7 linked regions of the Coturnix japonica genome follow. The main gene of each other region encodes a partner of the protein of the gene in region 2 in a complex. Links are inferred from orthologs where the notes say so. Each region holds a gene or a part of one and is shown on either strand. Other genes may lie near its edges.

What was found.
Region 1: ACTB (region 2) and SMARCD1 share a complex: the UniProt entries of both Homo sapiens proteins name them as parts of the BAF complex. The link is inferred for Coturnix japonica from reciprocal best matches to the Homo sapiens genes ACTB and SMARCD1.
Region 3: ACTB (region 2) and SMARCC1 share a complex: the UniProt entries of both Homo sapiens proteins name them as parts of the BAF complex. The link is inferred for Coturnix japonica from reciprocal best matches to the Homo sapiens genes ACTB and SMARCC1.
Region 4: ACTB (region 2) and SMARCD3 share a complex: the UniProt entries of both Homo sapiens proteins name them as parts of the BAF complex. The link is inferred for Coturnix japonica from reciprocal best matches to the Homo sapiens genes ACTB and SMARCD3.
Region 5: ACTB (region 2) and SMARCE1 share a complex: the UniProt entries of both Homo sapiens proteins name them as parts of the BAF complex. The link is inferred for Coturnix japonica from reciprocal best matches to the Homo sapiens genes ACTB and SMARCE1.
Region 6: ACTB (region 2) and SMARCC2 share a complex: the UniProt entries of both Homo sapiens proteins name them as parts of the BAF complex. The link is inferred for Coturnix japonica from reciprocal best matches to the Homo sapiens genes ACTB and SMARCC2.
Region 7: the proteins of ACTB (region 2) and SETD3 are in contact, whole or in part, in a crystal structure (PDB 6ICT), measured with the Homo sapiens proteins. The link is inferred for Coturnix japonica from reciprocal best matches to the Homo sapiens genes ACTB and SETD3. Residues at the interface, in NP_001092.1 of Homo sapiens: Leu67, Lys68, Tyr69, Pro70, Ile71, Glu72, His73, Gly74, Ile75, Val76, Thr77, Asn78, Trp79, Asp80, Asp81, Met82, Lys84; in NP_115609.2 of Homo sapiens: Cys36, Ser37, Ile148, Ala151, Met152, Asn154, Ile155, Asn212, Arg215, Gln216, Val248, Val251, Met252, Thr253, Arg254, Gln255, Asn256, Gln257, Ile258, Pro259, Leu268, Ile271, Trp274, Asp275, Cys277, Ile284, Thr285, Thr286, Gly287, Tyr288.

What each region holds. Positions count from the first base shown.
Region 1 is NC_029544.1:347,990-352,112, forward strand, and holds the start of SMARCD1 (SWI/SNF-related matrix-associated actin-dependent regulator of chromatin subfamily D member 1), read right to left. Parts: upstream 2,801-4,123; 5' UTR 2,765-2,800; coding exon 2,597-2,764; intron 2,477-2,596; coding exon 2,289-2,476; intron 1,119-2,288; coding exon 1,076-1,118; intron 979-1,075; coding exon 856-978; intron 587-855; coding exon 458-586; intron 1-457. UniProt on the Homo sapiens protein: Involved in transcriptional activation and repression of select genes by chromatin remodeling (alteration of DNA-nucleosome topology).
Region 2 is NC_029529.1:4,232,029-4,236,038, forward strand, and holds the start of ACTB (actin, cytoplasmic 1), read right to left. Parts: upstream 2,801-4,010; 5' UTR 2,668-2,800; intron 1,912-2,667; 5' UTR 1,906-1,911; coding exon 1,783-1,905; intron 1,450-1,782; coding exon 1,210-1,449; intron 685-1,209; coding exon 246-684; intron 1-245. UniProt on the Homo sapiens protein: Actin is a highly conserved protein that polymerizes to produce filaments that form cross-linked networks in the cytoplasm of cells.
Region 3 is NC_029517.1:706,332-709,831, reverse strand, and holds part of SMARCC1 (SWI/SNF complex subunit SMARCC1), read right to left. Parts: intron 1,513-3,500; coding exon 1,431-1,512; intron 985-1,430; coding exon 892-984; intron 1-891. UniProt on the Homo sapiens protein: Involved in transcriptional activation and repression of select genes by chromatin remodeling (alteration of DNA-nucleosome topology).
Region 4 is NC_029517.1:105,896-110,165, reverse strand, and holds the start of SMARCD3 (SWI/SNF-related matrix-associated actin-dependent regulator of chromatin subfamily D member 3), read left to right. Parts: upstream 1-1,470; 5' UTR 1,471-1,599; coding exon 1,600-1,677; intron 1,678-4,270. UniProt on the Homo sapiens protein: Involved in transcriptional activation and repression of select genes by chromatin remodeling (alteration of DNA-nucleosome topology).
Region 5 is NC_029542.1:4,153,877-4,157,376, forward strand, and holds part of SMARCE1 (SWI/SNF-related matrix-associated actin-dependent regulator of chromatin subfamily E member 1), read right to left. Parts: intron 3,381-3,500; coding exon 3,276-3,380; intron 1,633-3,275; coding exon 1,552-1,632; intron 463-1,551; coding exon 331-462; intron 1-330. UniProt on the Homo sapiens protein: Involved in transcriptional activation and repression of select genes by chromatin remodeling (alteration of DNA-nucleosome topology).
Region 6 is NC_029544.1:895,855-900,032, forward strand, and holds the start of SMARCC2 (SWI/SNF complex subunit SMARCC2), read right to left. Parts: upstream 2,801-4,178; 5' UTR 2,757-2,800; coding exon 2,646-2,756; intron 2,563-2,645; coding exon 2,443-2,562; intron 327-2,442; exon of another isoform or gene 321-326; coding exon 235-320; intron 1-234. UniProt on the Homo sapiens protein: Involved in transcriptional activation and repression of select genes by chromatin remodeling (alteration of DNA-nucleosome topology).
Region 7 is NC_029520.1:43,618,117-43,621,616, forward strand, and holds part of SETD3 (actin-histidine N-methyltransferase), read right to left. Parts: intron 2,622-3,500; coding exon 2,507-2,621; intron 1-2,506. UniProt on the Homo sapiens protein: Protein-histidine N-methyltransferase that specifically mediates 3-methylhistidine (tele-methylhistidine) methylation of actin at 'His-73'. Histidine methylation of actin is required for smooth muscle contraction of the laboring uterus during delivery.

The sequences.
Region 1 (4,123 bases), on a different chromosome or scaffold from region 2:
CAGGAGAGCAAGTTCCAGGACTCAAGCACAGGCAAGGTGCACAGCAGTGTTCCTTTAAGTTGTGAACACTTACATTCATCAACACATGCTCGAAAATCAAGTTCCAAGTCAAAAATGGTGAAAGACTGGAGATAAAGATGAGCTTGGAGGAATTAACTTACTCAGCAATTACATAAAATGCGAGTGCCCTGGTTCTAAGAGCCAGGGTACACAAGTGCTACTGATCGGCTCTCACCATTAATTCTTATAGCTATAAGAACTTTGTATAACTCATGTTCTGCCATGGGGATACCCATCGGTCTCCGAGTTGGGCTCTCGGTCTCGTCACCATCAGACTCCTTGGAAAACAGAGATGAAGGAGGATATCAAGCCCTTAGCTACACTCCCAGACACTAAGAAACTGGTTCAATTTCCAATTCCAGACCCATCAAATCAGCTCTGCAGTTGGGTGCCTTACACTCACATCTTCTAGCAGCCTTCCTTCTACTCGAAGCTCCCAGGAGGCCACTGTTCCTTCACCATCCTCTGCATCCGACTTGGCTGGATTGAAGGTATTGGAGATAAAAATACGTAGCTTTCGCTTTTGCTACAAGAAAAAGCATCAGCTCAGTATTCATTCAGAAGCAAAGGGATGAGAATCATGCTTATGTTTTGTTAAAACTAAGCTAAATATTCTTCTTTTCCTCATACATCCACTCTCAGGACAAACAGCACAGAGAGAGGCAGTCTTGGTTCTACCCCCCCACTTAAGTCCTGGGCATTACAGTTCTCTCTATGCTTATAGGGTTATGACACAACCTTCAAAGCCCTCCTACTCTTCTGATAACAGTAAGTCTCTGAATGTCCCTCTCCTACCTTAATGGGTCGTTTCAAAGCCTCCTGGATATCCAAGCGTTTCCTCATGATCGTCTGGTCCAATTTCCTTTCAAAGGCCAGCAGGTCCATATAAGCTTGAGACTCAGGCACAAGTTCACGGATCTACAAGCAGAACACGAGCCAATCAAGAATGCAAATCACTGTCAGTTCCCCCACATCTCCATATCAGCAGAGGCTGTCAACTGCACATGCCACTCACCCTCTGAGGTAGAATTTTGTCTGCCATCTTCTTCTTTTTAGCACTGTAAAGTAAGGAGAGCATTAAAATGGCAACCATTCTGCTAATTAACACTGGACGTTCACAAAAGGAGCGAGATGAGGTTTGTGTTTTAGGACCAGGGCATCAGCAATGCTCTCAGCCCTGCAGCAGCTGATCGCCTTAATACATCCCCAAGGAAAGCAATGAAAGCAAGGCTGCATCATTGGAAAGGAAGCCTTATGGCTCAATGTGCTTTAGACAGACTTTTCTAGGAGACTCAGAGATGCATTACCAACGTTACCAAGGCATCACATTGTACTATCAGAAACTGAACATTAACTTGCTCTTGTCCAGCAGTTGCACATTACTTTTTTATCTGCTGGAAATTCCCCTCTACCAGAGACGAAGCTGCACGAGAACATCAAAGTTTCTTTCAGCCACCCAACAAAAAAAAAGCAGCAATGAGAGGCCCAGGCCTGGCTCTGCACACAGAAAAGCTTTGTGCTGCTCTGAGCAGCCAGCAGATGACACCAAGTCAGTGCTGACCCCTTCAGAGAGAGCCTGCAGCTCAGTGATGCCTGCCCTCACCCTGATACACAGATCTCGTCCCATGGGGCTTCATGAGGAGAGAAGCAATGTGTCCACGTCCACCTGGGGATGCCCTGAGCACCCTCAATGCTCTGGTGATGCACAGAGATACCTCGAAGACCCCTTGGACCCAAGGATGCCCTGAGACTCCTCTTTGCCCTCGGGGTGTCCTGAGGAACCCTGTTGCCATAGGAATGCCCAAGGATATGCCCAAGACTCATCTGCCATCCCAGGGATGTCCTCAGGACCCCTGCTGCTCTGAGGATGCCCAAGGGACATTTTGAGACCTTCACTGTTCCCTCCCCTGCCCTGGAGGAGCACAGGGAAGATCTGGGACCCTCATCTGCTCCAGGAACCCTTCCTATTTCAAGGATACCCAAGGATATCCTAAGCCTCCCACTGCCCTGGCAGCATCCTTTGGACACCCATTGCCCTGAGAACCCCCCTGTTGCCAAGAGGACACCCAACGATGTCCCCAGAGCCTTTCTACCCCATAGTTATCCTATGAATGACCCGAGCTCCTCCCCCCACTCACAGCTCTAAGGATGGCCAAGGATGCCCTGATCCCCCCCCCCCCCCCCCGCACCGTCTATTCCCTGAGCCCCCCAGCACCCCCGGTTCTTACTTGTGGTTGCGGTTGGGCACCGCCTGAGGCTGAACCTGCTGCAGTTGCTGCGGCGCTGGTCTCTTACGGGCCTGATCCAGGCCGGCCTGCGCCATACCGGGCCTCACTGCCGGGCTCCCACCGTACCCGGGCGGCCCCATAGAGGGGCCTTGCGGTGCCAAACGGCTGCCCGGTAACATCCCAGGGCGCTGCAAGGGGAAGAAAAAAGCCGTTCCAATGCCCACCCGGGGGGAAGCCGGCCCCGTCCTCGGCCCCGCCGCCCCCACTCCCTCCCGCCCCGCCCCGCAGCGGCCCCTCCCCTGCCTCACCGGGTAGGCGGCCCCTGGTAGAGGTGAGCGGTACAAGCCCTGTCCCGGGGCTGGGCCCATGCGCACCGGTCCGCCTGGTGTGCCCGGACCCAGCGCTCCGGTCCCGGTAGCGGCCCCGCCGCCTCCACCGCTGGGAGTCACTGACTGGAAGCCCGCCCGCGCCGCCATCTTGTCCAGCACAAAGAGGAGCGGGCCGGAACCGGAGCTCTGACATAGAGAGAGCGCGGACAGCGGCCTAGAGCGGCAACGGCTGCAGAGAGCGCCCCCTGCCGGCGGGAGGAACTGCGGGGGGTGGGAAGTAGTGGGTGGGGAGGGGGTCGTGGGTGGGTTTAAGGTTCACTACTGTGGGGGAATAGGGGCCTGGGGGAGTATGGCAAGGTTCTGGGGTGGGGGTGGGGGGTGTAGAGCGTGGGGAGGGCTGTGGGTGGGGGTAGAGGACTTGGAGAGGGCTATGGGATGGTGTTGGGTTTGGGGGTTTCAGAGACCATGGATGGGATGGGGTATTTGCAGGGGGGGATGTGTGGGAAGGGGCTGCGTCCTGGGGACATGCATGGACCATAGGAAAGTGTTTTGAGGGTGCAAGGTGCTGGAGGATGGTGCTCATTAAGCCTCGATGCTGTGACTGAGTTGGGGTGGGGGTCCCCTGTTCTTACAGGTGCTCTGTGCTCGTGTTTGGGGCTGCTTTGCTTAGGGCTGGGGATGCTTGGAGGAGGATTCCTCCCTCCCTCAGTAGAAGGCACAGCGCTGAATTAAAGGCCGCTTTTTGCAAGTATTAGCATTACTTTCCTTGTCCCCAGGGCACTCATCCGTGTGGTTGCTCATAGAGCAGAGGGACCTGCATCCAGCCTGCATTAATCCATGAATAAAATCCAAGAGAGCAGCCACACCGCAAGTATTAATTAAGCAATTAATGATAATCACAGGCCATTTAGGAAGCTGTCCTGTACAGTGCATGGCATTGTTGACTGAGGAGAAAAGTGGGGAGTTGTTGGCATCTTTTCCACCAAATTCAGTGTTTCTTGACCTCGATAGAAAACACGATGCCGTGAGCACAGCCATTAGCTGTTGTCTCAGCATCCGTGTGTCCGTGCAGTTAATGTAATGCCACCTCCAACACAGCCTTGGCGCCTGGCTGCCTGATGAAATATTCATGGTGAGGAGAAGCGGTGGAACTTATCTGCTCCGTATTGTTCAGATGCAGCAACTTCAAGTGAGGCTTAAAGCCCGGCAGGAGCCTTTGGACAGAGTTAGGAAGTGGCTGGGAGGGATATAGAAATAAGGAAGGGCTGAGCTGAGAAATGGTCTCTCTCCAGCAGCAGTTCCCTGTCTGCCTGGAACTGGGGAGCCCAGCACTGAGCCCAGTGCTCCAGTTGTGGCCTCCCCAGGGCAGAGCAGAGGGGAGGTGCACCTCCCTCCATCACCCTGCTGGCCAGGCTCTGTGCAGTGCACCCCAGGGTATCATTAGCCTTCTTGTCACACTCCTGGCTCATGGTTACCCCGTTGGCCACCAAGAGACCCACGTCTTTT
Region 2 (4,010 bases):
CTACTGCTATGGGAAGAGAAACAAAGACCCCATAGTGGGAAGCAACACAAGCAAAGCCATGGCTTACAGGCTCAGCCTCCTGGTTCTGACCTAGGTACCTCTATCATCCTCAGGCTGAGGAAGACAAAGACTGAAGTGGAATGGGACAGACCTGCTAAGGGCCAGCAGTACAATGGCAGCTGACTAGTCTCTAAGTCACTCTAGGCAGAAGGGGCACGGAATCTCCTAAAAGGAGTCAGACTTACCCAAGAAAGATGGCTGGAAGAGGGCCTCAGGGCACCTGAACCTCTCATTGCCAATGGTGATGAGTTGACCATCAGGGAGTTCATAGCTCTTCTCCAGGGAAGAGCTAGAGGCAGCTGTGGCCATCTCCTGCTCGAAATCCAGTGCGACGTAGCACAGCTTCTCCTTGATGTCACGCACAATTTCTCTCTCGGCTGTGGTGGTGAAGCTGTAGCCTCTCTCTGTCAGGATCTTCATGAGGTAGTCCGTCAGGTCACGGCCAGCCAGATCCAGACGCAGGATGGCATGGGGGAGGGCATAGCCTTCATAGATGGGCACAGTGTGGGTAACACCATCACCAGAGTCCATCACAATACCAGTGGTGCGACCAGAGGCATACAGGGACAGCACAGCCTGAATTGCTACATACATGGCTGGGACATTGAAGGTCTCAAACATAATCTAGAGAGATAAGAAAGCACTGAGTCAAGCAGAATAAACCAAGGTTCTCACTGCATGCCTACATCAGTCCATGCATGTGGTTTTACATTTGTCCCTAGATAAAGAGGCTTCTTTGCTCCTCTAGAAGGAGATATCAGTGCTTATCTCGCTTGGTCTCCACCCACACCTGCCAGGTTAGAGCCTGAGCAAGGACACTGCTACCACAGGCCCATCCACATGACACAGCAAGGAACGAAACAAAGGCCAAGGAACTACAGTATAGTCATTCAAGGCTGGTAAATGGATTAGTGTCTAGTCAGAAACAGCAGTTAGACAAGTTGCTAGTTCAGTCTCAGAGAAAGCCAGCTTAGAGCAAACAAAACCTGTCAAGGTCCAGCAAAGAGGAGACTCAGGTCAGGAAAGGAAAACCCTGTAAAGATGGCAAAAAGGGAGAAGTGGTGAAGGCGGATAGAGGACAACATGGAAGAGGAGAGCTGGCCTGCAGCAGCGCCTGCTGTAGCTCCAGGCTCAAAGGGTTTTACACACCTGTGTCATCTTCTCTCTGTTGGCTTTGGGGTTCAGGGGAGCCTCTGTGAGCAGCACAGGGTGCTCCTCAGGGGCAACACGGAGCTCATTGTAGAAAGTGTGGTGCCAGATCTTCTCCATATCATCCCAGTTGGTAATTATGCCATGTTCAATGGGGTATTTCAAGGTCAGGATACCTCTCTTGCTCTGCGCTTCATCACCTACATAGCTGTCTTTCTGACCCATACCAACCATCACACCCTGCACAACAAAGAAAAAGCTTTAAGTTTAACTCTAGGACAAAATCCAATGGATGAATAAAGGTTTTATTTCCCCCCCCCGCAGAAGCCACACCTTTAATCACTAACCCCCTACTGCCCCTACTCTGCCAGGTTAAGGACTGGAGCCATTGGCTCAACACGGGTTGCTCGGCAGGATGCTGTGTATTCAACCAGTTACTGTTGCAGAGTAGAAACCTCTTATGTCACACATGAAAGTAAAAGGGCTTCTGGAGGCTCCACGCCCTCAGCACAACCACTCCCACCGAACACTCCTCTCCATTGTCTGGATGCATCACTCCAGCCATTGCCGTACCTGATGTCTGGGGCGACCCACGATGGATGGGAACACGGCACGGGGGGCATCGTCCCCGGCAAAACCGGCCTTGCACATACCGGAGCCATTGTCAACAACGAGCGCAGCAATATCATCATCCATGGCTGGCTGCGAAGGAAGAGAGGAGGCAGTGAGATAGAAGCGCTGCCGGTCACGCACTAGAAGCCGGACCCCGCCCCGCCTCGCCCCCTATAGATCCCCCCAACGCTGGGGATGGATCGCGGGGCGGCAGCGCGGCAGCACGGCCCTCCTCCTCCCACCCATTTCCTTCCTGCCGGCTCCGCTTCGCCCCTCGCCCGCTAGAGGGGGTCAGGCGGCACCTCCCGGATTTGGGCTCGGCACAGATTTGGGACAAAGGAAGTCCCTGCGCCCTCCAACCATGACCATAAAAGGCAATGGCAGCTCCGAGCCGCGCCTCGACAGCCGCCGGCGCTATAGGGGCAGCCAGCCCCGCCCACCAGCCGCCCCCAACCACCGGCACCGCCCCGAGCCCCCAACGGCCCCGCACCCAGCACAGCCCCGCAGCCAGCACAGCCCGCGATCTGTAACAAGGATTGGGGGGGGGGGGCTGCACATGGGGGTACAGCTGCACATGGGGGGGGTTAAAGCTGCACATGGGGGTCACAACCCGACCCCCCCCCACCCCTCACTCCGCCTTTGTTCCCTCGCCCCCCGCCCCGCTCATCGCAGCACAAAGCGCCGAACCGCCCCGCGGCACCGGGCAGCACCGGCTCCGTTAACACACACACACACCCCGACTCACGCCCCCTCCCCAATACACAGCGCCCCCCCGCAGCCCCTCGGTGCTCCCCCGTATGGCACAATGGAGCTCTGCTGTCGCAGCGTTGCGGTCCGGCCGCTCACCTGTGTTTGTACCGCGGTCAGTCGGAGCCGGGTCGGGCGGCACGAGGCGGCTGGATGCGGAGCGGGGCGCGGGGCGAAGGCAGCGCAAAGCGACTCCCGCCCGCCGCCCGCTCCGCCTTTTATAGGGCCGCCGCCGCCGCCGCCTCGCCATAAAAGGAAACTTTCGGAGCGCGCCCTTCTGATTGGCTGTGGCCGCACCTCTCCCGCCTCGCCCCGCCCGCCCCCATCGCTGCACAAAATAATTAAGAAATAAATAAATAGGAAATTGGGGGGATGAAAGGGGAGAGGGGAGCGTGGGGCTCAGCTCCAGGTGAGGCTGAGCGGCGGGGTGTGACGCTCCCTTCCACCCCCACCCCCTTTTGATTCCATAGTGCTTTGATTCCATAATGCTTTGATTCCATAGTGCTTTGTTGGGGAGGGGATGCAGCCCTGCCCCCATCCCGGTGGTCCTGCGGTCCCCTTGAAGTCACCTCCCGGGGACAGGCGGCCATAGCGATGGGAGCTACGGGAGCTATGGGAGCTATGGGATCTATGGGTGCTATATGGGATCTATGGGAGCTGTATGGGATCTATGGGTGCTATATGGGATCTATGGGTGCTATGGGAGCAATGGGAGCAGTAGGAGCAATGGGAGCAATAGGAGCTATGGGAGCGATGGGAGCAGTGGGAGCGATGCGCACCGGCTGTGCATGCACTGAGCTGCAGCCACACTGATGTGCGTGCACCCAGCAGCAATAACAGCAGCCTGCGTGCATGCACTGAGCTGCAGCGATACAATGAGTGTGTGCACCCAGCAGCGATAGCTCCAGTGCGAGTGCATCATGCTGTGGGATGGAGTGATACAATGAGTGTGTGCGCAGAGCTGCAATAACAGCGAGGGCTGTGCGTGCACTAGGCTGCTACAGCAGCAAGGAACGTATCACGGCGCGTGCATGCACCGAGCTGCAATCACACCATCGGCCTGGTGCTGCAAGGGAGGGGATGGGGCACCAGGTGCATTGTTTGCACCCACCCCTCCCGGCCTGCAGCGCTACCCAGGGCCAAGTTCAGCGCTCATGTCAGCAAGTAGCGGTGCAAACCTCCCGGCCAGCCCTTGGACTGCTGGGTGCATCGCAGAGCCCATCAAGGGCCGTGCTTCGTTAGGGTGTGAGCTGCAGCGGCAGCAGCAGCCGGAGGGAGGAAACGAGAGCTGAGTAAGGAGCTGAGTCAGGCAGGGCCCGGCCCGGCGGAGGTCAGGGCAGCCGAGGGGCCTTTGCCTACATTTGGGCAATATTTTGTTTCTTTCCTGTTTGCAGCGTGTGCTGCGGGGTTGGACAGGGCGGTGCGTGGTGTTGGTGAGCAGC
Region 3 (3,500 bases), on a different chromosome or scaffold from region 2:
TCATAAAGGAAATCACCACGAGGAACAGTAAGGACTTCAGGAGCAGACTGCAGAGCATTAACCCTCATCTCAGCAACAGCCAGCACCTGGGGTCAGCTCAAGAGCTATGAGTAACTCAAGAACAGCTATGCAGTTAAGGCTGAGATGATTCATAACCATAACGCAGCAAATACAGTGGAAATGTGGATAGGAAAGCTTTCCCTTTGGCTACCAGCAGTGAGTTCTCTCCTCACAAAGGGCTGCAGAGCGATTCCTTCCCAGCTCAGCCAGAGCTCCGCTCAGTCCTGTGCCCACAGAGCTCACATTCACAGAGCTTCCCTCAAGAGAAGTGAGAGCCCATTCATGTTTAGAAGATGAAGCCATTAACCTTGTTCAGGCCATCACTGAGCACGCTCAGTTACAAAGATGCTGACCCTTGTGGAAATGCACTAACACAAACCTGATGTTGCTTGTGCTCTGTTTGGCATAAATAAGAAAAAAAAAGTTAAGAACAGACCTGAAAAGGCAGCATTTTTAAGACTGGAGCTTCTTTATGCTTGCTCCCACACGTCTACACCAGTTATGCCACGCACTACCTTTTTTGGGCTCAGACTTGGACAAACTGTGATCTCCTGCCTCACGTGGGCAGAATTCAGTGTTAAATCAGCTCAGGCCTGCAGCAGCCTCACAGAGAAAACACACCTCGCGCTGCTTGCTGCTTGAAGCCTCAGAAGCTCATTTACTTTCAGAGCAGATTAATGATTCAGCAGCCACGTGATGATAACCACTAATGGCATCCCACAGACAGCTGACCTGTGCTCTGACTTCTTGCTGCTTCCTTGCACTGTCAGACACAGCACAAACATCACTGGTACGCAAACACGCTGTGCTAGGAGATGCTGTGTAAGTTACCTGGTGACGTTTGACAATGTCCTTCAGTTTATTAGCCAGCTTCAGCTCTATATCTGGAATGAGGTAGATGGTTGGTCTGCTCAGACAGTTGTTCTGTGGAGACAAAAGAAGTAATTAGCAGAGCATTTGTGACAGAAACCAAACAGTTCCCATCACAATCAGCAGTCCAGCAGTAATAAAGAGAGCAAATAACTTCAGATGGAACCCCACACAACTGCTACCTGCTGTCTTCTGGTAGCAGCAATGGAGCTCTGACAGAACAACTGAGGATCAAAAAGCAACCCAGCCCTGAAAATACTCAAACTCACTACAAAGCTGGAAGTCCCAAGGAGGTGCTGAAACAGCTGCCCAGAGGCTGTGGATGCCCCGTCCATCCCTGGAGGTGTTGAAGGCCAGGTTGGATGGGGCCCTGGGCAGCCTGGGCTGGTATCAATGTGCAGGTTGGTGGCCCTGCCTGTGGTGGGGGGTTGGAGCTCCGTGATCCTTGGGGTCCCTTCCAACCCAAACCATCCCATGCACAAGGAATCTGAGTCCATTACCTGCACTAGTGTTTTCTCAATGTTCATGAACATCTCCACATTTCGGTCCATCCGGGATGGGTTCTGCAGGTCAAACCTCCGCCTGTAGAGGGAAACCATTCAAAAAGTCTTAAAGGATTCAACTTTCCTCTACTCAGAAGCAAAGAATCTCTCATGTTACACATTAAAAACAACACTGTGGAAGCTACATGGGAACACTCAGGGCACAATCAAGTAGTTTTGCTTCGCTTGGCAGCCCCCCCAAGCAAATAAACCCAACACAATGAAGGAATCACCAAAGTGAAAATGATTTGCAATAGGTTGAAGAAAAACGAAGGCTGGAACCTGCAGAAGGGTTGTGTGTTCCACTGCAGGCACAAGGGATAATTCAATGGAAACCATCAGATATTCAAGGCAGGTCTCACCAGCTGGAGGGGGAAACCCACAACCATCCACTGTGTGCTCCCAGCACCCACCCCAAAATCCAGCCCAGCAACATGGGCAATCCCTCTGTGAGCCATGAGAAGGGCCCCGCGCACAGCACAGGGCAGCTAACAACCCACATCAGCATTACAGAACAGCCCAAATTGGAAGGGGCTCATAGAGACCATCGAGTCCAACAAGATGATTGTCTTTATGGGACTCTGGTGCTTTAAAGCTCCATGCTGCAGTGATAAAGGAATCCAGCTTTGGGAGTGACAGTGCACATGGAAGCATCTGTGAGAAACGGGGAAGGCAGAAGCATGAGAGCCTCAGCAGGCGTCCTGCATGTGTCCTCGAGTGAAGGACCTGAACGAAGAAAGGGTCAGGCTGAGCACTGATGGCACCAACAGCACTGCACATACCACGGGTATGGAGCTGCAGGAGTCCAAGGCAGGCTCAGCCCAGCACAACATTGCCCTGGGGCAGACAGGCACTGCCTGCTGCACCTCCGTGCCTGTGCAGCTTTGGAAACAACCACCAGCAGGGGCTGCGAGTGCTGTGAACAGGAATGCTGAGCTGGCAGCCAGCGGGATAGGGATTACAGCACATAGAAATGCCTCCCACAGCCATGAGCTCCTTACCCTGCAGCGACTGGCGAGCTGCTCTGAGCTCAGAGTGCAGCTTCAAGCACCAGCAGGCAGTGCTGTGCCCAGACGGTTCAGGACAGTTTCTTTCAGACACACACTTCTTTCCCATAACACATCCAATAAACGTTTCAAGTTCATAAATATGCAACAAAGGTAAACCAAAGCAGGACTGAAGTCAGAAAACCCATTACTGCACAGGCAGGGCATCACAGAGACACCGCTGAACATAGCACAGAACCTTCAGCTGAGGCTGCCATCTCTTCCTTCACTGGTGGCTCTCAGCACATCAGGCAGCATCAGCAGAAGGCTCTTTCTACCCTCCATAGGTATTACAGGTGCATCCCCTCCTGCTAAAGAGCTGGGGAACGAAAGGCAGAGTTCATCCTGACAAACCTACTGTCTGTGCGTGTGGGAGCTGTGAGCTGACTGCAGGCACAGCCCAATGCACTGCTGGATGGACACACAGGGAGCTGAGCCGAGGCCCAGCTGCTTCTCCAGGGCTCTCACACTGATGTTTCATGGTCTATACAAGCCATGTGTGCTCCAGACAGGTACACTGAAGTGTCAAGGAAACAAATGGAAATAGATGGCAAATTAATGCAAATGAATCTACCTTCCTAGACAGCCAACAGCTGGCAGTACCTCTGAAACAAGGACGTGTAAGGCACTCTGCTTTGATCAAAGCTGCTTGTTATATTTGGTTGCCTACAATCCGCGTTTTGGATTCATTAAATGCTATTCATGCCCCACACTTTCACAACCCATACTTGACGAGAAGCACGTCCATGTATCAAGCAATAGAACTGTGTGTAAAGGAGATGAGATAGCAGTGCTAATCCCTCCTGCGCTCAGATTACGGGACACCTCGGGCAGGTTTTAGCCACCAACCACTTCAATGGCAGTGACAGACAGGGTATGTCCAGCTGCACTGGGTAAGTGCACTTTGCAGACATACCTATTATGGCGAGGAAAGGTACTTCTCCTATAAGACAGATCATTCACAAACAGGTTAAGCAAGAGC
Region 4 (4,270 bases), on a different chromosome or scaffold from region 2:
TGGGTGTGTCCGAGGGAGCGGAAGGGGGAGGGCGCTGAGAGCAGCCCCCACACGCCCAAACGCTGTCATTGCTGCGCTATCCTACACGGCGCTGCCTGGGCCGGGGTCACCTTGAACATCAGCAGAGGCTGCTCCTCAGTCCCCGCGCACACGATGCCGTGTGTTCGCCATGGGCTGCTCCTCGCTGCTGCCCGATTCAGTGTCTTTTTGGTGCTTGTTTTTAACCACTGGGTGAGAGCAGCGATTTTATTCAATTCAGGTTCCCTTCTGATTCCCTTCTACTTGCAGCCTTGCCAAAAAATTCAGAGTCTATAGACATCAATCTCAAGGAGAGGAACAGAACAAACCCCTCTGGCAACACCTCTATCAATGTATCAGGCGGACGGGAGGCAGCCGCCCCCTCCAGCCGCACACACCGCGGTGAGCAGAGCCCCACGGCCACGCCGCTGTGCCGTCATGGAGGCGGCCCCGCCGCTGTGCACCGCAGAGCCGTTATTGCCGCTGTGCACCGCAGAGCCGTTATTACTGCTCTCCATCACGGAGGGGCCGCCGAGAAGCGCTGCAGAGGCCCCTTCCCCCCCGATGGGCCGCGGGGTCTCGTGGTGCCGCGCGGGGCTGTGCACGAGGAGCCGCGAGCTGCGGCAGCACAACGGCGAGCTGCGGGGATCGCGGCGTCTGCAGCCGTCAGTCACACGGGGCGTAGCGGGGCCGGAGAGCCCCGGACAGATCGCCCCGGGCGGGGCCGCCGCCATACTGCCATGCTGCCATACTGCCATACATCCATACTGCCATACTGCCATACTGCCATACATCCATACTGCCATACATCCATACTGCCATACTGCCATACTGCCATACTGCCGTGCTGCCATACATCCATACTGCCATACTGCCATACTGCCGTGCTGCCGTGCTGCTATGCCGCTATGCCGCCCCCGCTGCTCGCACGCCCCCCATCCCTTCTCCCCCGCTCCGTCCCTGCCCGCTCCCGTCTCTCCGCCTCCCGCCGCCTCTTCTCGCCGCAGGGGCCGTTCTCATCCTGGCGCTGGAATCGCCGCCAGCGAATGTTTGCCCGCTGCCGGCGGTCCCCGGGGACGGGGCCTGGAGCGCGGCGCGGGCGGAGCGCTGCGAACGGGGGGAGCCATTGTTTCTCCCCGCTCTCCCGCCGCATATTGTAATGGGAAAACTCCCCGGGAGCCGAGGCCGCCCCCTCCCCCTTGCCCCAGAATTTACCATCCCCTGCGCCGAGGAGGAGCGGCTGCGGCTCCGCCGCGAAAGGCCGGGACGTGTTTTCAATCTGCCTGGCTCTTATCTCGGGTGTTTGGACAGAGAGGTTTAAAAAGCGGGATTTTCTGTCCCCGCAGAGTAAACACGCAGAGCCCGGCAGCGCAAACTATTTCTGGCTTATCAGTGGAGGAATGCAGCAGCTGAGGCCGAGCGCGAGTGGGCCGTCAGGAAGGCCCTGAAGGGGCCCCCTCCCCACTCCGCGCTATTAGAAGTGTGAGAGCCCAGCAGGACTCAGAGGGGAGAGTTGGAGAAAAAGGCAGAAAAGGGAAAGAAAGAGGAAGAGAGAGAGTGAGAGAGGCTGAGCAGACCCCGATGGCTACAGACGAAGTTACAGGAGGGGCTCGCAAAGCTACGAAAAGCAAACTTTTTGAGTTTCTGGTCCATGGGGTGGTGAGTCGGGAAAGTTAGCGAGCTGCTGGCTCCGGATCGAGGGATGAGTGCAGAGCGGAGGCTGCGCCGGGCTGGAGCGGCCCCTGCTGCGCGCCCGTGGGGCGCCGCTCCCCGCCTCGCCCGGGAGCCGCGGGGCCGCCGGTGCACACGATGTGACCGATTCGTTGCTATACGGCTTTGTCTGGGGGGTTGCGTGCTGTGATTGCTGCTTTGATTCTCCGTGCTTGGTGAATAGCGTGCTCCCGAGCCTCGTCACGGTGCGGGATCTGCACCGCGTCTGACCCAAACGGGCTCGTAGGACACTTTGTTCTGTAAGCAAACTTGTGTTTTGAAAAGCAATTCTGATGCTGGTCCGACGCGGCCGTGTGGCGCTGCCTCTGGTTCTCGTCTCCAGCCTTGGCTCTGATGTATCCGCTGGCTACTTAACAGGTGACTTTCAGGGGCTTGGAGAGATTAGCGCTGCGGATCTCTGCCAGGCGATGGGCGCTCACCCACGAGGGAACGTCAGGTTGCCGCGCTTAATTAAAGGAATCACTCAGGTCTTTAAAAAATCGCCAGCTTTTGTTTAAGGAATCAGGTTTTTGATCTCCATTTAAGGGGATACGCTAACCTTGTTTTGCTGCCAGGAGAAACGATGTTCTTTAAATGACTGATGGTTGAAAGCGACCACCATTTATAGCATTCGGATGTCTCGTGCTGATACACTTTTAAGGAAATAAGACCCAGGAAACGCAGATATAGCTCAGATGGAGACAGTCCCTGCGTGTTTTCTCTCCTGAGCGTTCTGGCACCTTCTGTGACACCTTTTTGAAGACATCCGCTGCGTGTTCCTGTACAAAGGAATCTCGGGAGCTCGCTGCAGGCCTCTGGGTTGTCCCCATAATTCAGGCTTGCTCCAAATGTATTGGATCTTTCTTGTGTACTGCAGAGCCTGGCTATGATGAGCTTGCAGGGTGAAGGACTTTTAGATGGCATTCTGCTCCCTGAGAGCAGTGAGCAGGCAGAGCGGTGCCGATGTACATCAGCAGTCTGTGGCTGGATGGGCAGATATGACAGAAGCAGGTGTGCGGATCTGTGGCAGTAGCTGTGCTGTGAACACGTGTGTTGGTTAAGATGGTCTGGCTCAGGGTGGCTGTAGCTGGGTGGCCGCAGGCATCCCGGGAGGGCTGTGCACGAGGGTAGCTGTTTCTTTTTCCAAGGCTTCTGTTGGCACAACACTGCTCTTCCTTTGGTATTTCCAAGAGTTGCTAAGACAGTTGGATGACCCTGCTTCTTTCCCATGTAGATGTGAAAGGAGCCTGCTGGCCTCTTAAGCATGAGAAATGTTAATTCATACCAGAATTAATGCAGCAGAACTTGTTTCCATTAGTTATTTGGGTGCTAGAAAAGTCTGACTTGTCTGCACTGCCTGTTTCTCCATGAGAGGCGTCTCACTTGGTATCCACATTGCCTGAGTACCTGCATCTGGTTGTTACCTTTCCACTGCCTGTCAGGGGAAACAGAGCTTCTTGTCCATCACTCTTTGCCTGAGCTCCTCTTGTAGGACCCTCTGCGCCCCTCCATGATTATTTCCTTTGGTTCTGCTTTTGCTTCCGTGTTTGTTCTTCACTTCTAGTTTCTTCCTGACCTCAGGCTCATTTTGGTCAAAACAGGTTGAGGCAGCCAGTCTTCCATTGCTTACAAAAGACCCAAAGTTGCAACTTCATTTACCTGTTTACATATCCTATCGAATAAAAGAACGAGCCGTTACCCCGAGTGCAGATATTGCAGCCTCATCACCGCACGCGGCCTGTCTGCATCTGAATCAATTCCTTGAAGATTCAAGTTGAAGAGTAAAGTTTTCCAGCATGCCTTGGAATCAGGTTATGCCTCCACTCCAGGGAAAATCTCCTCTTCAGATTACTGGGTTTTTTTGTTCTCTCTTTGGCAAAATGATCTCTCTTGATTACTGCAGGTATTGTTATCGTTATTGTTTCATTTTCAGAAATGGGAGTGTATAAGCAGGGATAGAATGCCATGAGAAAAAAATGTACTGTTTGAAGAATTAAATAGAAAGGAGAATTTTGCACTATTTACTGAGAGCTGTTAGATTTTGGGTTTATTTGATCTTTCTGAAAACATGTGTTTCTCTGCTAAGGTCACTTCGCCCTTTGCTCTTGTGTGTTTCATCTTGCCTTTGTTCTTTCCCATGCTGCCAGCTCAGAAGAGATCTTCTTCCCTTTGTGTGGTTCAGATAGGATCCCTCTGTGCTGTCAGATCTCAGTGGTGAGAAGCCTCAGGTGTGATACTTCGCCCTGCTGGAGTAGTTTGTTACACCTCTGCTGAGCAGTTCTTTTCAAAAGACCGCCTTTCTTTCAGTTATTCCTTAGATTTCTCTAACTCCTGGTCTGTTGATCAGGGCCTCACACGCTGTATCTGTGGGAAGAGGGATTTTTTGCACAGGCTTCATCATCCTTCACTGTCACTTTCGCCCCTCTGCTCTATTTCCAGAACTGTTATGGATAAATTCAGCTTTAATGACCACCTTTATGCCTATATGTTTTTTCCTGATGTGTTTTCTACTGTCCAGCAGTACACTTCAGGCTGCCCTTGT
Region 5 (3,500 bases), on a different chromosome or scaffold from region 2:
ACCAGTTTTGAAAGAGGCTTTTGGTGTTGAGGCAATCTTTTCAACACTGATGTTGTACAATTAAATCCATTCATTAAACAGTTAAATTCGGCACTCAATTATAAACAACTTCATTTTGAATTGGGTCTAAAAACTGACCAGTCACAGCTGATGTACAGTAACAAAAAAAAAAGTCTAAAAGATGTGTCAGGACACAACTTCCATTAAGTTACATACAGGGGGTCTGGTGAACGCCTCATACACCACTGCACGGGAAAGATGAATGTTTCTTCTCAGACCAGTTCCTAGAAGAATCAGCTGTAATAAACATCCCAGATTTCTTCCATTTACCTTTTCAGCTTCATATTCATTCAAATACTCTTGCTTCTCTTCATCAGTGAGATCTCGCCACATTCCTCCAATAATCTTGCCAATTTCCCATAACTTCAAATCAGGATTGGACGCCTTCACTTGGTCCCAGACCTTAACAGAAACAGCTGGAGCTTTACTAATGATATCTAAATACTTCCAAATTAAACATTTTATATTGTCATCTCAGTGTTCTTTCTGGAACCACCACGAAAAAACAGGGTTAAGTTAGGGATGAGTCTGGCTAATCTATCTCGGTTATTTTCTGGGGCAGTCAGTAGGAGGTCATCTACTGAAATGGCTTTGGTTTCATCAGAATATTTTGCCTTTAACCCTCTCACTTCTCTTCTCAAATCGCTGCATCTCGGGGAAAAAAAAAAGCTCTATAGAGAACACACATCCAGCAGTAGATTGCGGTAAAGAGCACTGAGCTTTTCACATCAGAATGCAACATTTCACAATATTTTTCAGTCTTGCTGATCAATTTGAGTTCCAACAAGTTCTGACTCCACCAAAAAGGTTTCTACCTTTACAGGGAGAAAAAAGAACAAGGAGAGAGCTGCCAGGGTTAGTTCTTGCTGCGCCACTTGCCTTTTTTTTTGTTGCTGGTTTTTTGGACAGATCTGCTGGTAAAGATACTTTACCAGAAGTGGAAGAATTTCCTTCTGGCTCACCCGCTCCAGACGGGCTCACCTGCCCTCCCCACGCCCAATCACATTTAAGACTCCACAAGGGTCTCTCTCCTATTTTTTGTCAATCAGTTCAGAGAATAGCGAAGTAACCATTGCCACAGGCTAGGTTGGTGAAGGAGAACACGCAAAGTCCACTCATTGCTACTCTTCAGTCCAGCTACAGCACTGTACCAAGCCCAGTATACCGCAAGGAATATTTCCTTTACATTAAAAGTTCTCTCATAAGTCATAGGAACTTCTGAATGTGGCAGGGTGGATCCTTGTCAGCAGACAGCAGAAGGAAATTATCAATTTAGAGACAACTGTTCCCCCCAGAAACTGGCAACTGTAAGAACAGACCAGCGCTGCCATTATTCTGCAGGGCAATGCATCTGTTCTTTACAATTCCCTTTAAAGAATGTGCAGGCTGTTAGGAGTAAAAGTTTAAAAGCTGAAACTAAGATAACAGCAATGAATTGTTAGCACGCACAACGCTAACATCTATTACTACTTGTTCGATACCCATACCCACCTTCCGGCTGTACCTCATGTAGGGCATCAGGGGCTTGTCTGGGGGCTTTGGGGGCTTTGGGATGGTAATACCAGAGGAAGCCTATGGAAAAAACGAAGAAGTCCATTTGTTAATGCGCTCACCGGGCAGCTTCCACACGCGCCAGCTTTGGGAAAGCATTTAGTCTTGCACAGTTGAAAGAAACAAACATCCCCCACCCCACTCCAAGAAGGAAGCATAAGTGCCCCCCCCCCCCCCAAGCCTGTGCACAGGTACACAGCTAGTCCTGTTAAACTGCTCGCTATGAAGAGCAAATCCCCCTCTGCGACCGATCCATCAGTGTGCGTTATTTGCCTCCAAGCTGTCATTATCCATGTTAGCCTTCGCATGTTTTTGTGCTCTGATCTTCCTTCCAGTCTGTGCAATGCTGAACACCTTGTGCTAAGCAGGAAGACACAGAAGAGTGCTGCTGATGGAGAGCTGCTGCACGCCCTGCTCGTCCTTCACAGGACACCTGGCAGCTTTGTTCCCCTCACCACCACCTCACAGCCCACCACCTCCACTCTGCAGACACTCAGTGTGGGAGTTCCAACCGTGGGACCATTTCCATCACAACAAAAAGCAGTTTTGAGCCTTTTCAGGATTGAGAAGATTAAGCAAATATCTGAAATTGGCCATAAAGGCCAACGTGTTGTATTCAGCTTTCCAATTGGTCCTCTTCATTTGTTTTTTTCTGCTGAATTTATGGAGTTCTATGAATCGATGCATACAGAACTGCGTATAAGTATAGATAATGTACATGGAGTATATGTATTACCAAAATGTATACATAGATACACACACAGATGGGTTTGAAAAACATTAACGGAAACTGTTCAATGCTTTTAAATTAACAGGAGTTCCAGGACACCATACATATCTTGATATATGCATGGCAGAGAAAGCTGTATATGCTTATGACATACAGAAACAATGAGAGTTCTCGGAGCAAACCTAACTTAACCTTGCTTAAGAAAATAAATGTCTGTTCAGACAGTACAGTCAGCTGAGTTGCAGCTTGGATGGGGAAGGCCTTTTCTGTAAGCACTTCAACAAACCCAATGAAGTCATCTGTGAAGCCTGAAAGGGGGTTTACAGAAGAGGCACACGAAGAGCACTCTTCACTGAAGGCACTGTACGTGTTCCATGACAAACTGCTTTGTATCCCATGTTCTAGACTACAGAATATCTGATTGTATTTCATATCATTATACTTCTGTTGAAACAACTGTTTCTGAACCAGGGACTTTGCACGGTTAAATCAGACTAAGATTGGAAATAAAGGCTCACATTTCTTGCACAGCTCCGTAGTGTGAAGCAACTATCAGCGATCCCTGGTCTGCAAAGCATTCCTCCTTATTTTGTGCCAAAGTCAGTAACTTTGCAGTTCTACCCCCCAGGGATCGGTACCTGCAGCACAGACCTTCCCTACACATGCAGCGCTCACTGAAGACCACAGAGTGTCTCCTTGGAGCTCTGCATCACACGATTCCCACACGTCTTTCCCTCTCTTGAACAGAAGTCCATTTTCTTGTGAAGGGTTTCAAAGTGTAGGGGAAGGGGTAGGGATGGAGAGAGAAAATCAGAAGTAATCTCTTGTTCCTAGAAAACGAGGCAGCAGCCAGGATTCAGAAGATCCTAACTCTAAAGCCATTTCTGGGCATTGCCTGCTGTTTGCCGGATGATGTAATAGTTGATTCTCCTACCGTGACCCGGCTGTTGGTGCCCGGGTTCCCTCCCAGCCTGTAGTTGTTGTAGGCCAGATGGCTGTATGGATTGTATCCCACAAACCCTGGTGTGCTGGGCATTTGCTGATGGAAACAAATGAGACAAAAACACGAATGAGAAATGAGATCAAACGAGGAAAACACATAAATGAAAATGAACTGCAATATGGCATGCAAAAGCAATCAGAATTTAAACAAGCAAAT
Region 6 (4,178 bases), on a different chromosome or scaffold from region 2:
TCAGGTCTCCTCATCACTCAGCCCCATTTTACCCATTAAAGGGGGGTGGGGGGACACCCCAACAGGGATCTGTGTATGGGGCTGTGACCCACAGATGGGCAGCCAACACACTGCCCAACCCAGGGCTGTAACCGCCCCCATTGTGCCCCATAGAGCAGACAAATCTCTGCCTCCCCCCTCCCAACCCCACCACCACCCTTAATTCCATCCCATCCTCCCTATGATGCCGCTCACCATCCTTGGTCGCTCTTGAACTTATAAGCAGCCGCCAAGATGTGGCACAGGGCTCCCCCCGCCTTGAAATCCAGGAAGCATTTGATCTGGAAAAGGGGATGGGAGGACTCGGGGGGGGGGCTGCCCCACAGCGGGCAATACCCCACAGCGGGCAGTGCCCCACAGCAGGCAATACCCCATACATAGCAGGCAATGCCCCACAGCGGGCAGCACTGGGACTCATCCCTTCTCCCTATTGTCCCCATTGCTGTCCCTGCTCCATGCCATGGGGGCGACCACCCCAACAACCCCCCCGCCCAACCCCAGCCCCAAAGAGCCCCCCAAAGGGATGGGAGTGGGGAAGAGGAGGGTCCCCATGTGTCCATCCCTCCCAGCTGGGCCGTGTGGGGCCTGGGGGGCTCTCGCAAAGACCCCTCCAAAGGGGGTGGGGGGTGGGAAGGGGGAGGGTCCCATGTGTCCCCCCCCCACCAAGGCATTGCAGGACCGGGGGGGTCTCACAAAGACCCCCCTAAAGGAGGGGGGGGGGGGAAGAAGAGGGTCCCTATGTGTGTCCCCCCCAGCTGGGCCATTTGGGGCTGGAGGGGTCTCGCAAAGACCTCCCCAAAGGGGGGTGGGGGGGTGGGTCCCCATGTGTTCCCCCACACCAAGGGCCGGGGGGGTCTCGCAAAGACCCTTCCAAAGGGGGTGGGGGGTTGGGAAGGGGGAGGGTCCCATGTGTCCCCCCCAACCCAGGGCATTACGGGGCCGGGCCGTGCGGGTCCGGGGGTGTCTCAGGTCTTTCAAAGACCCCTCCAAAGGGGGTTGGGGGGTTGGGAAAGGGGAGGGTCCCCATGTGCCCCCCCCCCAGCTGGGCCATTTGGGGCCGGGGGGGTCTCGCAAAGACCTCCCCAAAGGGGGGTGGGGGGGTGGGTTCCCATGTGTCCCCCCCAACCCAGGGCATTGCGGGTCCGGGGGTGTCTCGGGTCTTGCAAAGACCCCTCCAAACGGGGTGGGGGGTGGGGGGTGTCCCCATGTGTCCCCCCCAACACCAAGGCATTGCGGGGCCGGGGGGGTCTCGTAAAGACCTCCCCAAAGGGATGGGGGTGGGGAAGACCCCTCCAAAGGGGGTGGGGGGTGGGGAAGGGGAGGGTCCCATGTATCTCCCCCAACACCAAGGTATTATGGGACCGGGGGGGTCTCACAAAGACCCCCCTATAGGGGGGGGGGGGGGGAAGGGGAGGGTCCCATGTATCTCCCCCAACACCAAGGTATTATGGGACCGGGGGGGTCTCACAAAGACCCCCCTATAGGAGGGGGGGGGGGGAAGAGGAGGGTCCCTATGTGTCATCCCACATTTGGGGCCTGGGGGGTCTCACAGAGACCCCCTCAAAGGGATGGGGGTGGGAAGGGGGAGGGTCCCTATGTCCTCCCCACCCAGCTGGGCCATTTGGGGCCAGGGGGGTCTCGCAAAGACAACCCCAAAGGAACGGGGGTGGGGAAGAGGAGGGTCCCTATGTGTCCCCCCCAACACCAAGGCATTGCAGGGCCGGGGGGGTCTCACAAAGACCCCTCCAAAGGGGGGGGGGGGTCCCACGTGTCCCCCCCAACCCAGGGCATTACGGGGCCGGGCCCTGCGGGTCCGGGGGGGTCTCACAAAGACCCTCCTAAAGGAGGGGGGGGGGGAAGAGGAGGGTCCCCACGTGTCATCCCACATTTGGGGCCGGGGGGGTCTCGCAAAGACCCCTCCAAAGGGGGTGGGGGGGTTGGGAAGGGGGGGGGTCCCCATGTGTCCCCCCCCCCCCCCAGCTGGGCCATTTGGAACCGGGGGGGTCTCGCAAAGACCTCCCCAAAGGGATGGGGGTGGGGAAGACCCCTCCAAAGGGGGTGGGGGGGTTGGGAAAGGGGAGGGTCCCATGTGTCCCCCCCAACCCAGGGCATTACGGGGCCGGGCCTTGCGGGTCCGGGGGTGCCTCGGGTCTTGCAAAGACCCCTCCAAAGGGGGTGGGGGGGTTGGGAAGGGGGAGGGTCCCCATGTGTCCCCTCCACCCCAGCTGGGCCATTTGGGGCCGGGGGGGTCTTACAAAGACCCCTCCAAAGGGAGGGGGGGGGGTCCCATGTGTCCCCCCCAACCCAGGGCATTACGGGGCCGGGTCGTGCAGGTCCTGGGGTGTCCCTGGGGGGGGTTGCGGGGTTTGCGGGTCCCTTTGTCCGCCCGGCCCAGTCACGCACCGGCAGTTTGGTGAGCGGCGCGTTGCTGACGTGCTTCCCGAACACTTCCTCCTGGAACTGCAGCAGTTGAACCACGAGACTCGACAGCGATTTGTTGGTGGGGGGCTCGGCCTGGATGTACTGCGGGAGGGGGCTCAGCCTCGGGCCTGGCTCCGTGTAAAGCGGAGCCGTGAGGCCTATGAGGGATCCCGAACGATCCGTACCTTCTTGTAGTTCTTGCCCAACCAAAGGCGGACGTTGTCGAATTGACTGACGGTGTCCGAGGCCTCGTAATATTTGACGTTGGGGCCGCCGTCCTTCTTCCGCACCGCCATCTTCCAGCGGGCCGGGCCGCTCCCCGCCGTGACGTGACGCAGCGCCCCCTGCCGGTAACGAGGGGTACTGCAGGACGGCGCCCCCTGCCGGTAATGAAGGGTACTGCGGGACGGCGCCCCCTGCCGGTAATGAAGGGAACTGCGGGACGGCGCCCCCTGCCGGTAATGAAGGGTACTGCAGGACGGCGCCCCCTGCGGGCAGAACAGGGGTGAGTGTGCACAGCGCCCCCTGCAGGCCGAATGGAGATGAGTGAACACAGCGCCCCCTGGCGGCACGGAGGACCCGATGGATGGGGGCGGTGTGCCGGGTCTAGGCGGAGCGCGGATGAGGGAGGCGCTGAAGTCACGGTGGCCGAGAGGTGAAGGCGTTGGACTCGAAATCCAATAGGGTTTCCCTGCGCAGGTTCGAATCCTGTCCGTGACGGAGCTTTATCTTTTAATGGGGGGGGGGTCCCTTTTTAATGTGGGACTCTGTATAACACGGAGCAGTTCAGAAAGGCTCGGCCCCTTTTAGTGTGACCCCCCCCCCGACCCCTCCTAGAGCAGCCACAGCTTCGCTACAGAAACCAGAACAGCCGTTTTTATTGATCGCTGAACGCCCCCCCCCCCCCCCCCCCCACCAACAAGGGGGGGGGAGACCCGGAACCGCATCGTACAGACAGCGGAAAATAGGGGGAAGGGGGGGGGAGGACCGTAAAAAAAACCAACGTAACGAATGAGAATAAATTAAAGTCCCATAGGGTGAATGGGGGGGGGTAAGGGGGGGTATGAAGCCATCGGTGGCACTCCAAAATCAAAGGGGGGGGGAGGAGAATGGAGGGGGGGGGTAAGAATGGAGGGGTGGGGGAAGGCTGAGTAGTACAAAATAATACAGAACCACGAGCACGAGTGGCTGCAGAGGAACAGCAGTGGGGCAGAGGGGGCTCCTATTGCCCCCCAGGGTGGTGCCAGACCCCCTCCCTGCTCCCCCCACCCCCCCCCCTCATTGGCTCCCCCTCGCCCATAAATGCCCAGCTCTGCCTTTAGGGTTAAATGGGGAGAGGGAGGCCAGGCCTGGCCCCCTGGGACAGACACAGGCAGCATAGGGCAGAGAGCACAAGGGAGGCAGCCGGGGGGGCTGCAGGCACAGCGTGAGCATCCGTGGGGCTGGAAGCCCATGGGGCTGGAAGTCCATGGGGCTGGAAGTCCATGGGGCAGCAGCCCAGCAGTACCCGGGGTGCAGCTGTGCCTCCTCTGCCCCCTCTGAAGACACCAAGTGGGGATATGGAGCTGCAGGGGGCAAATGGGGGGTGGGCTGGGGTGGATGCAGCGGTTATAAGGGGGACTTGGGGGGAAGGGGGGGGGACATGGAATCGTTTCATCCAGCTGTGAGCAGAGCCCGGCCATTGGCAGCATCCACCCCAGGCCTCGGTCCCAGCCCCC
Region 7 (3,500 bases), on a different chromosome or scaffold from region 2:
AAAGGCTTCTCTGAAAAGCATAATGGAGTGCTAGACTTATTTCCTCTTTCTTTCAATAACAGTCATGCAGCAGAATTAACAGGGTGATTACTTCCCTTCCCACATCATGGCTGACAAATTGCATCCCTCCAGTTTTATTTCCGAAGCAGACCAATGTATGAATTTCAAGTTTTGCTTAAAGCAAAAGTAGTACTCTGTTGTATAGTTGTATGTTGTATAGTATAGTGCTCTGCTTGGTCGGTGATTATGGATGGACCCAGCCCAATCGGCAGAGCGTAGCTTATTTAAAGCTCTGGCAGAACTGGTAATCAACCTCTGACTGTCAAAATACAATCCCACTAAAGAATAACAATGAGAAATGCATGAAGACAACCATTTTGATATAGTTCTTAGAGGAAGGTTGATCTAATTAATACTGTCAGAAGCACGAAATAGCAGGATGGACCTGGCTTCAGTTAAAACCCAAAGAGCACGTTATTATCCAGCTTGGGCAATGGGTCCCTGCAGAATACAGCAAGAACAGGAATATGTAGTAGGTCACTAACTCAGGAAGCATTTCAGTGTGTCTGGAATAGACTAGACAGAGTGGTACATATAATACCATCTCTCACGTCTTATTTGCATACAATGAACTGTTCATTTCATGTGCTATATCTACAGCAGAATCCATCCTCATCCCACTCTACAGCAATATAAACTACAACACAGAGAGATCAGGAGTTGTTTTAATTTCTTTTTCTTCTCAGTTTCTAATATACAATACAGAGTGAAAAGGGTTGAGTAGCTTCTCTTATTGTCAGTGTTCTAGTTGCCTATCCTTCCTAAGCCTACAGATACTTAAAAGTAGCTTGTGTGGAAATATGAAACAAATGAGTAAAGTCTGTATAGAAATTCAAACTATTTAAGATTCCTCCCTTCCCCTCTTTTCTTTTTTAGGATACACTTAAGCATAAAAAATTGCTTAAAGCCCTGATATACTACTGCACTAGCAGGTTTGGCTCCAGACACTGGCTCCATATCAAACCCAACATGAAGGAACATAATAAAGATAAAAAATGACTTTATCAATTTAAATATAAGTTTGAATGACTAAAACAACGTACCTAACAGCTCTTTTAATATGGGCTATTTTTTTTCCCCTCCCAGAACCTTAATTCTCTTCCCCTTTCCCTTTAATCCCAACTTTGAAGGCATTCATTAAAAGCTGTCTAATGACTACAGGCTAGTCCCTGCAGAAGTATCATAAAGAGAAGCCCAGCAGAAGGATACAAGAAGTACTGATGCATGCAGCTAAGACTTACATGAGAAAAATACACATTAGTGAATTCAGAGCAATTTTCTTGTTATCACAGATTCTCATACAAGAGTAATTGTTGTGAGATTGCAAAATAGTGAAAGGCAAGGATCAGTATTAAAACACAAGAGAAAAAAAAAATACAATAGCCAAACACGCAACCTTGTAGCCCGGCTTTTGGCGCTGTAATTGGAACAATCATGGTAAAAATAAATTAACTAAGTATCAAGTGAGAAACAGCCTGTTTTACACTTTGTTCATGTAAATTAAGCTTTTCTTACACCAGCAGCAGTAACACATGCTGTTGTCCTAACGCTGGGGCCAACTTTCCTACAAAAGGACTAGATCACTTGAAATAGAATGGTCATATTTACTACTTAAATAATACTATCTACTGGAAGTAAAATTTTAGAATATAAATTCTAAAGCATACACGATGCTGGCTAAACAACACCGATAAATTGTCCTCTTACAGTCTTCCATTTCCTCACTTCAACATTAACTAGCCTGTTAATGAAATCAAGACCATATCCTCTAAACCAGCTCACGTAAGACAAAATGTCAGCAGATCTGACTTTCTATATACGTGTCACCTTTTAAATGTTTAATATGCCCTAAAGTAGTATTTTTGCATTTTGTTTCTTTGATGTAGTAACAGATGTACTGTTTTTGTTGAGCTGGGCTTTGTTCTTGTCGTTGCTGTCTCCATAACAAGGTTCTCTGGGCACAGTTAAGAGAGCAGGCAGTATTTCTTAGCTGCAAATTTCTAACCACTTTCCCTAATGGTAGCTACAAGAGGTAACCTCCATCACTGTCTACTTTCATATTCTCAGTACAAATCTATCTAGTATTGTGAATCTTTGTCAAACTAGTCAGAAACAAAACCCTATGTCAGAAAAATGGCTGGAAAAAAGAAAAAGGAGGTATCGTGTAGCCAAAACTCTTAAAGGTATGTTATTCACACAAGACACAACTGTATGCAATCATTTCTAAATGTTTGTTTAAATTAAGGAAGCTCTACTGAAAGACCAACATAAGACATTTAAGAAATTGATAAATCTTTCAGCTATAAGTTTTCTGAGGGTCATTCAGGAGGATAAAATAACCTGTGTTAAGAAGTGGAATGAAAAGTTATTAAAACCGTTTGCTGGCATTTGAAAGGATTAATACTTAAGCCTTAGAGCCTTTCAACAGCACTGAAGTAAACCTTACCAGTCCATTAGTATGATTACACATGTCCCATAGAGGTATTAGAGCCAACGTAACTCTGGAACCATCTTCTGTTGGAATCTGGTTCTGCCGTGTCATAACAGAGGAAACTGCCCATCTACAAAAGCAAAGAACATTAGGTGTTCATGTTCAATACATCAAAGTGTGAATAGCCTGTAACACAATCTGGAGCAGACATTTACACAAGGAATTTCCAAATCTATTTATTTTTTAATAATATGTTAATAACAGCAAGAGGTAAGAAAAGAATCATTCAAAACCCTTCCAAGTCAGGTTAAGCAAATGAAAATCCAGCTACGTATTCAAATACAGGAATCTTCAGAAAAGCTGAATATCCCAGTATTTCTTAATTTCTGGAATTCCATTTTATTACATTTCAGACAAAAATGAATAATGCCAGAAAGAAGAAATCTTCAAGTATCACTACGCTCTGGTCTTAGTATATACATACAGTATATACATCATCTTGAAAAAAGGAATACCACCAGGAGAGGGTCAAAAGAATTTTAACTCCTCACCCTCCATCAGTAAGAAAAAGGATTAGACTTTCAGATCTGTTTTTGTTTTTTTTTTCCAGAAGTGCTCCAGATTGCTTACAAATGCATGGTCAACTTGAATTTTAATTACTTTAATTTCTGAAATAACAAGATAAAACTGTGGATAGCTTTGATATACAAGATACAGGCATCATTTGAAACATAACTGTTGTATTCTTCTTTTTTATCTGAAAAAATCTTGTTCACTTCACATGCAAGTTGGCGTGTTGCTCTGCACTCTTGCAAGGAAGCAGGCATGCTTTGGATAAGCCAGTTTCATAGACTTACCCAGAAGCCTCTCAGGCCTCACCAGCCTTTTACTCAAGCTATTTTAATCACTTAACAGAATTTAAATAATTACCTTAATAATTCTTATTGCAATTGTGTCACCCCCAAAACACCTCCAAGTGACATTCACGGTTCCTATGTACAACTTAAGT